Linked DNA regions of Oryzias latipes. Each later gene encodes a partner of the first gene's protein in a complex. Links are inferred from orthologs where the notes say so. Each region holds a gene or a part of one and is shown on either strand. Other genes may lie near its edges.

Region 1 (3,819 bases):
CCTAAATGGTCTTTTGTGAGAAGCATCTTTAGTAAAAGCGATATATTGTACAGGAATGTCCTCATCCTCTGATTTCTCTCCCTCAGGATGATGTGAGGATAAAGTTTGAGTTCTCAGGGGAGAGGAGGTGAGTTTATTTGAGTTTTGTTTACACGGATGATGCATCCAAATGCAGTCCATGCACTCCTGAGAGATGTAAACACACAGGCATGCCGTTCTGGTCACACGTTCCAGCTCATGAGAGCGAGCGCACACTCCTGCAGTGAAACCAGATCGGTATGCGAGCTGCAGAAGGAAGAGGGAAAGGACTGTGGTTAGCATGCGGCTGCCAGCGCACACCACAAATATTTAAGGTGTACTTGAAAGAATCTGAACCCACCGAAAAGTGCAGCATGTGTGTTTTGCTTGCACGTGTGCATGTAATTCAAATGGCGTTTCCTCAGCAGCTGGTACAAATCTGCCATAATCTGTGGGAATTCTGCTCTTTTCATGCAGGATCCTGATGTTTGAAAGGCCTGTGCAGTTTGAGGAAATTCAGCAAAAAGTCAAGAGCGTGTTTGGTCAGCTGCTGGACCTGTATTATGTGAACAATGAGGTAAAGTGCTTTTCAGCATGTTCTCCGGCACTTTGGATTGTCTTTCACTTCTCCAAGCGCTCCACGTTCCTGTAAATTTGTCGTGTTTGCAAATGAGGCTGTCTTTTAGAAAACCAGTTAATCCAAAAACGTGGATGCTTAAAGGGACAAATAAAGAGAAAAAGGACATAAAATAAGAAGATGAAAAAAATACCGGGGCAAAGGAGTTGAGATGATGCAAAAACTAGACTCATGGAAGCTTCTTTTATTTGAAACTGGGTTAATGTAAGCAACCGCTCCTCATTTATGTATTCCATATTTTATCTAATTTGATCTCATTGTTTATCAGAGTGTTTTGGTGTCAAATATATCAATTTGTTGTCTTCATTAGAAAACTTATTTGTGCTGCTAAAAAACACAGTCATTTCTTTAAAAAATGAATTTCCCCTTCTAAAAAATAGGTTTCAAAGTATCATTTATTTGCAAATTATCTTTAAAGACAAGTACATCTAAAGGTTGAACCAATTGGTTGTTTTTTGTGCATGTTTTAAACCTTCGTTTTTATTCAATTGTTTGTGCTTTGTTAAATTCTTAAAGTTTTTACATGTGAATAAAAGATTTTTCTCGCTAAAAGGGTTCCTAGCATCTAAATTCTGATCAATTTTAACAGCGTTCCCAGAGTTTTTTAATGAGTAAGGATCAGTGAACTAGTGAACGACTAGTGATTTATTAAAAAGGAAGGGGTCCGGAGCAACCCCACCCCCATTCCCCTCCCTGTTGCTGAGAGCTCTCTGTTTACACGCGCTCTTGCTGGCTTACAGCCCTTCACACCTCCACTCTAACATTACCGGTGCAACAAAAGTGTCGAGCATTATTGTAGCGATCCAGTTTTGAGCCAGTTGGCAGCTCAGATGAGGAAAACGACGGAGCTTGTGGCCCACCTGCTGTGTTTTTTACGTTTTCAATTGGCGTTTTTTTTTTAATCATCTGCTCCTTTTTCACACCAATTAGAATAAAGAAATACTCAGAAATACAAATTTGAGGTTAATTCTTTTTATATGTGTCCATCATCAGGAAAATGCCATAAAAACACAATTTTCTGCCTCGTTTTATGAATTTTGTGTACAGATGCTTGTTTGTTTTATGAGTTTGCCTCCTTGGGTTGTTTCTTTGCAGATGTCCATTCCTTTAAGAGGTCAGGACGACTTGGACAAGGCCGTCGACTTGCTGGACCGAAGTTCCAACATGAAAAGCATCAGGATCCTGCTGCTCACTCAGGAGCACAGACATGTAAGACAGACTGGCCGTACGGTTGCAACACGCCGTTGCACCAACACCGTTTCTTCAGCACAAAGCCGCATTGTGTAAAAACACCACGCCTCTAATTCCCATCATCGTGATACTGTTGAGTCACACATGGAAGCTGGTTTTATCCCTGCGTCCTCCACAGGCCACCTCTCCCTCCCATCATGCACCTTGCAAGCAGGTGAGGATCAAGTCCTCCCAGTCCACTGGAGATGTCAGCACGTTGTACCAATCCTCTGAACCTAGGGGGCGCCACTTATCAACCGGTACATTCTCTTGAATACCTGTTTACCATCAATTCAAAGGGACTAATGTTGGTTGAATTAATCAAAGTTGTAGTTGTTTTTATGTTCATTTTATCATTTTTATTGTCTGTGATGCAAATAAATTCTGGTTGCACTCTTTCTTTCCTTTATTGCATCAGATTTTCTTCCTTTTTTTCTTCACTGTTACACTAAATCGTAGCAAATAGTTTTTAGTGTTTGATTCTTTAAAACCAGAAGTGCTGTTTAAAAAAAACTCCAAACTTCATTTTCTCTATATTCTGAGACTTGATTCTTTTCAAACAAAGGCTTTCCAAAGCATTTAACTCTTGTCGGTCCTTTAAAAAAATGAAGAATATCACAGTCAATGAAATTCCCACTTTCAAGTGTCACCTACCAACGGAAAAGTAAAGATGGAATCTATTTTGATTATTACAACCCTTTAAATGATTTGAGTTTTAAGAAAAAACATTCAAATAATTAAATGAAGTTAATCAGACAAACCATTTTATTCAAGCTGTTTTAATGAAATAAATAATAATTCCTATTTAAATCCCCTAAAAGGTTTTCAGAATAAAGACTAAGTAATTGATTCAAATCTTTTTTTATTGGTCTCATATGTGTTTTGAGTGATACTCATAGTACCGTCTGTGATCCTTCAGGGTCTCAGAACACTGGGCGAAGTTCTCCACCTCCTGGATATGTGCCTGAACGCCAGCAGAGGATCGCCCGCCAAGGTTCATACACCAGCATAAACAGCGAGGGGGAGTTCATACCCGAGACCAGTGACCAGTGTGTAAGTCCCACTGTCCCTTGAAATGGAGTACAGTGGAAATTTCAGCCATTGAGGGTAGTTTTTAGAATGCAACTCCCACAATGACAATCGAGAGACGACTGTAAAATAGTTTTTGCTTTTATTGTGAAAGTTTGTTCATGGGAAAAAAATGTGTTGTTTTTTTTTCGTACCCTCGCTGACTGGCTGAGTGTCTGTTTCAGGCCCCTCACTCTCCCCCCTCTTTCCCCCTAGTCAGATTTGCATGTGACAAATGGGGAATAAACAACACATTTTTGCAAAAAATGGCGGCTTTTCTGTTGGTTTCATCTTCATAGCAACCATTTTAGTTTTTTGGCTGCCTGGGGATGACAAACGGGTCTATGTCATTTCTGCCAAAGTAAACGTTGGAATTTCTTTGACAACAGAGATATATTTATCAACCATGACCACATTCCCCATATAGTCATATTGTATGCTATATCGTTTCATTGAGCTGGAGCCAGCGAGTCACGATTAAAATTTTCACAATATTCTGGTTAGAAAAAGTGTGCGAGCAACAGGGGAGCGGCACTTTTGCGAGCTCGCCATCTGAACACTGTTCAAAATCTACAGCTTCTAATTACAACCCCCCCCCCCCAAGTATTTTCCCAATGATGATGGTTAGGAGGTGATAGAATGAAAGCCTTAGGAGGAGTTTACATTTGTAGGTGGTATTGAAAGTGACTTTTTTTTTTCTAAATTCAAGACGGCTCGAGGTCAAAGGTCAACGAAACTTCGATTTTTGTTTGGCTGTGTCCAAATTTCGATGGCCGCGGGCTTCCCGGTCGACGTTGGCCCGGGTCCTTCGTCGAGCGGCTAGACCGGATGTTAACGGCTGTGAATTTGGGCGAATGTCTTGTCGC
Region 2 (3,687 bases), on another chromosome or scaffold:
ACCCCGTGCTGACGCTGTTTTGAGTACCGTAACTATTCAATTGTTATGGGGATTTCTTTCTCCACGTCAGAATCAGCGCATTCACGTTGATTGTGTGAACGATTGAAGAGCTACGGTTTGTCAAAGAGCGTGTGCTGTGTAGGCGTCGCCGGTGACATCTCTGGTGTTAAAGAGTCTTGTTCTGCTTGTATATTTTGTGCTTCTGTTGAACTGTTTAGCCTGTTACCTGGTGGTAATAGAATGGTTGTCTCATGATCCGAATTTCATCAATACTAATAAGCCCTTAAAACTGAGCTGAGTTTCATTTTTTTAATTTCTTTTTTAATTAATTAATTAATGTATTTTTCTTTAATGCAGCCCAGGATTCTGGAGGTTCTCCTTGTCCCAGTTCTTGTCCCGATCTCAACAAGTCCCAGACGCTAAGCTCGCTGTCGGAGAGTGGAGCCGTTTTGGTGGAAGTCTGCTGTCTGCTAGTGTTGGCAGTGGAGAATAAGGTTCTGTATTTAGGTCATACAGTTATTTTACACATTGTGTTGATGCATTAGGTGACATATTTCAGAAAACTGTGGTATATTTTAAATTCCTGGTCTTTTCTTTTTCTTCTAGGCTGCTGCAGAGGAGCTGTGTTTTCTGCTTAGTCAGGTTTTTCAGATCGTTTACACAGAATCAACCATTGACTTCTTGGACAGAGCCATTTTTGACGGAGCAACGACACCAACTAGACACCTGTCTTCATACAGTGGTACGCAGACGCAACAGCAAACCAGATTACAGTGGTCATTCGTTTATCGCAGGAGTTGTGTTCCAAAAATAACCGCCAATAGATGAAATTTGCAAACTACTCAGCTTTATTTTTTTTTACAAGAACTAGAGATGTATTAAGGCTGTAAAACCCCTTCCTTATACTCATTTTTAGTTTTCTTTCTTGTTTAAACTCTCAAAGTTCAAATCTTCATAGAAAAAAGGTCCAATGTTACAGAAAGAAACCAAAGATCTGCTCACAATTGATCATTTATGTAGTTTTAGCAAGCTGAATAAATTCTGTGCAGAAGACACGACACAGAGGAGTTTGATTGACAAGGACACTGAAAAAAAAAAACTAAAATAATCTGTGAGACCATGAAAGGTGAAGCAAGGGATCACTGTATCCTTTCTTCTCATTTTTTTCATTTTTTCACATTTAAGGTCAAATGAAGTCTGAAAATCTTACAACTTTATTTTGTGATTTTTAAAGATGACTCCTCGAGTAAAGTGGACGTTAAGGAGGGTTTCGACGCAGAAAACAGCACATTGTAAGTAGACTGAGCGGTGCTTTCTGCTTGAATTCTATTCAGATATTTATTCTCAGTTCTGTTCATCACTTTGCACAGTTTTTCTCGGTGTCTTTCTGAGGCTGCTTTCTCTCAGTCCGTTCCAGGTCAGTATGGATGCAGATGGAAACTCTCCGTCTGCATCCACCCCAGCATCCCCTCAGAAGAAGACGGCAAGTGAAGGAGAGCTCAGCACAACCGCCGCAGAGCTTTTGCAGGACTACATGACCACAGTACAGAAAGACTTTTTTTCTCTTTCTTGAAAACACTTAAAATAATCTTTAAAAAAAAAGGTATTCAACTGAAAATAACTTTTGTTTTTGTAGTTGCGGACAAAACTGTCGTCGCAGGAGATCCAACAGTTTGCAACTCTGCTCCACGAATACCGGAACGGGGCTTCGATTCACGAGTTCTGCATCAACCTGCGACAGCTCTATGGAGACAGCAGGAAATTCCTCCTACTGGGTAAAAAAACTGCATTACACCGACTTTCATCTTTTAAAACGATGGCAGAAACTGAAATGTGGATTCATAATGACCACAAAAATGACTATTAATAATTTACTGCATCATTTTTTCTGGTGAGATCTTGTGACCCTTTTCATTTCTTGTAGGTTTGCGCCCCTTCATACCTGAGAAGGACAGTCAGCACTTTGAGAACTTCCTGGAAACCATCGGCGTGAAAGACGGCAGAGGCATTATAACGGACAGCTTCGGTCGCTGCAAACGCACCGCCAGCTCCGCCTCTGATTCCACCACCAACGGGAACGGCGCGGCAGGAGGAACCGGCGGCAGCGCGTCCTCGGGGGAGGAGCAGGAGGCCTCCGAGGGCGACGAGTGGGACCGCATGATCACCAACATCAGCAACGACATTGAGGCCCTCGGCTGTAGCATGGACCAGGAGGCATTAGCGCCCTGATGGGGAGCAAAAGCGGGTCATTTTGCGTGGAGGCGTGGCCATTCCTGTAGGCATGAGAAAACCGGATCAGATGAAGGTGGTCCTTAGCACTGACCTCAAATTAGCTTAAACGTATATTCCTCTGTTTATCAAGAGGGCGTTCAAACTCCCCACAAACTCAAGGAAAACCTCAACTTGTTGCCATAGGTCAACAAACGCACTTATGCAGTCTGCGAGAAGCAGGAAGTTGACTCGTTCCGCATTTCAGGTGGATTCCTAAAGGATTTTCTTTTGGTTTTGTACTTCTTATTGGCAGCATCTGCCACCGCTTTTAGTAATGTAGCTGCAGCCAGTACAGCCCAGACTCCAGAGGATCCATCAGTGCACATATTTCAGAAGGTTATTACTGAAGTTTGTGATTCTGTTTTTTTATTTTATACTGCAATATATCAACCCGCTTCATCCATGTACTTCACTTTTGCGTTGTGAGTGTGTAACATGCTTTTTGTTTTTGTGTACTGCTCTGCTTTACACTAGCATTTGTTTATCAGTGTTTACTCCTCATTATACAAACTGACCAAGGAAATGCTGTAAAGACAAAAGCGTCACCAGTTATTTTTGACAAAGCCACTAATGACTGGCTGATGTTCAATCACGATTTGCTGGGTTTTGTCATGCAGACCGTTTGTTGTGCATCTATTGTGCCTTTTACACTGCAGCACTACTGCCAGCTGTCTGACAGACAGGGAATTAGAAACTGTAACTACAGTTGCTCCTCTTGTTACGGTTATTAAATAACAGATCGTTCACTGATTGTATTTTAGTATTGCAAATCTGCATTTATCTTAAAGTTGCATAAAACAAACGTTGCAGTCTCATAAATCTGTCTGCATTTTTTTTATTTTTTTTTTATTTACTTTACTAAAATAATCCCATTATGATCTTCTGAGCGCTTGGGTGCACCTAAGCTGCTGTGGAACTTAAGAGAGCCATCAAAGCGGTTCTGCTGGATGGCCTCAGTTCGGATTAACTGGTGAGTGTCGGCGACGGAATATTGGCGAGATGCTGAGCACATTCCGTTCTTGAAAAGCCTCTCAGTGGCGTGTTTATTTCACGTTCCCCTTTTCTCTGCTTTTTCACCTGTAAAAATCTAAACCAGGTCAAACTGAACCAAACTCGACAAACTGGGTTTGATAAGCTTTTTTTTTTTCTGCGGTGAAATCCACCTGCTTGTACTAAAAATACAGTCTGTAGATGCCCGTTTTTGGCCACTACGTCAAAGAATGAACTAAAAAAATGTAAATGTTTTTATGAAATCTACAAAAAAAAAGTGCTAATTATTTTTTCATGAAATATAGATAATATCACGGATGTCATGTTGGATGCTTTCGTAAGTTTTCTTCACACTCTTAGTTTAAGATGGAAAAACATTGGCATGAGTGTTCAGAAAAAAAGCAGCTTATTCACCCAGTCTCAAAT

The links.
Region 2: the proteins of map3k3 (region 1) and ccm2 are in contact, whole or in part, in a crystal structure (PDB 4Y5O), measured with the Homo sapiens proteins. The link is inferred for Oryzias latipes from reciprocal best matches to the Homo sapiens genes MAP3K3 and CCM2. Residues at the interface, in NP_002392.2 of Homo sapiens: Asp2, Glu3, Gln4, Ala6, Leu7, Ser9, Ile10, Met11, Asn12, Asp13, Leu14, Val15, Ala16, Leu17, Glu50, Asp82, His84, Met86, Asn88, Glu89, Leu90, Ser91, Ile92, Leu93, Arg117, Leu119, Leu121, Ser122, Gln123, Asp124; in NP_113631.1 of Homo sapiens: Leu299, Tyr302, Met303, Leu306, Arg307, Ser312, Gln313, Ile315, Gln316, Gln317, Phe318, Ala319, Ala320, Leu321, Leu322, His323, Glu324, Arg326, Glu333, Ile336, Asn337, Gln340, Leu341, Leu353, Phe356, Pro358.

Annotation. Positions count from the first base shown.
Region 1 is NC_019866.2:4,128,283-4,132,101, reverse strand, and holds part of map3k3 (mitogen-activated protein kinase kinase kinase 3), read left to right. Parts: intron 1-86; coding exon 87-127; intron 128-495; coding exon 496-595; intron 596-1,750; coding exon 1,751-1,864; intron 1,865-2,024; coding exon 2,025-2,145; intron 2,146-2,804; coding exon 2,805-2,938; intron 2,939-3,819. UniProt on the Homo sapiens protein: Component of a protein kinase signal transduction cascade. Mediates activation of the NF-kappa-B, AP1 and DDIT3 transcriptional regulators.
Region 2 is NC_019882.2:14,044,860-14,048,546, forward strand, and holds the end of ccm2 (cerebral cavernous malformations 2 protein), read left to right. Parts: intron 1-357; coding exon 358-494; intron 495-606; coding exon 607-742; intron 743-1,234; coding exon 1,235-1,292; intron 1,293-1,407; coding exon 1,408-1,543; intron 1,544-1,636; coding exon 1,637-1,775; intron 1,776-1,924; coding exon 1,925-2,229; 3' UTR 2,230-3,090; downstream 3,091-3,687. UniProt on the Homo sapiens protein: Component of the CCM signaling pathway which is a crucial regulator of heart and vessel formation and integrity. May act through the stabilization of endothelial cell junctions. May function as a scaffold protein for MAP2K3-MAP3K3 signaling.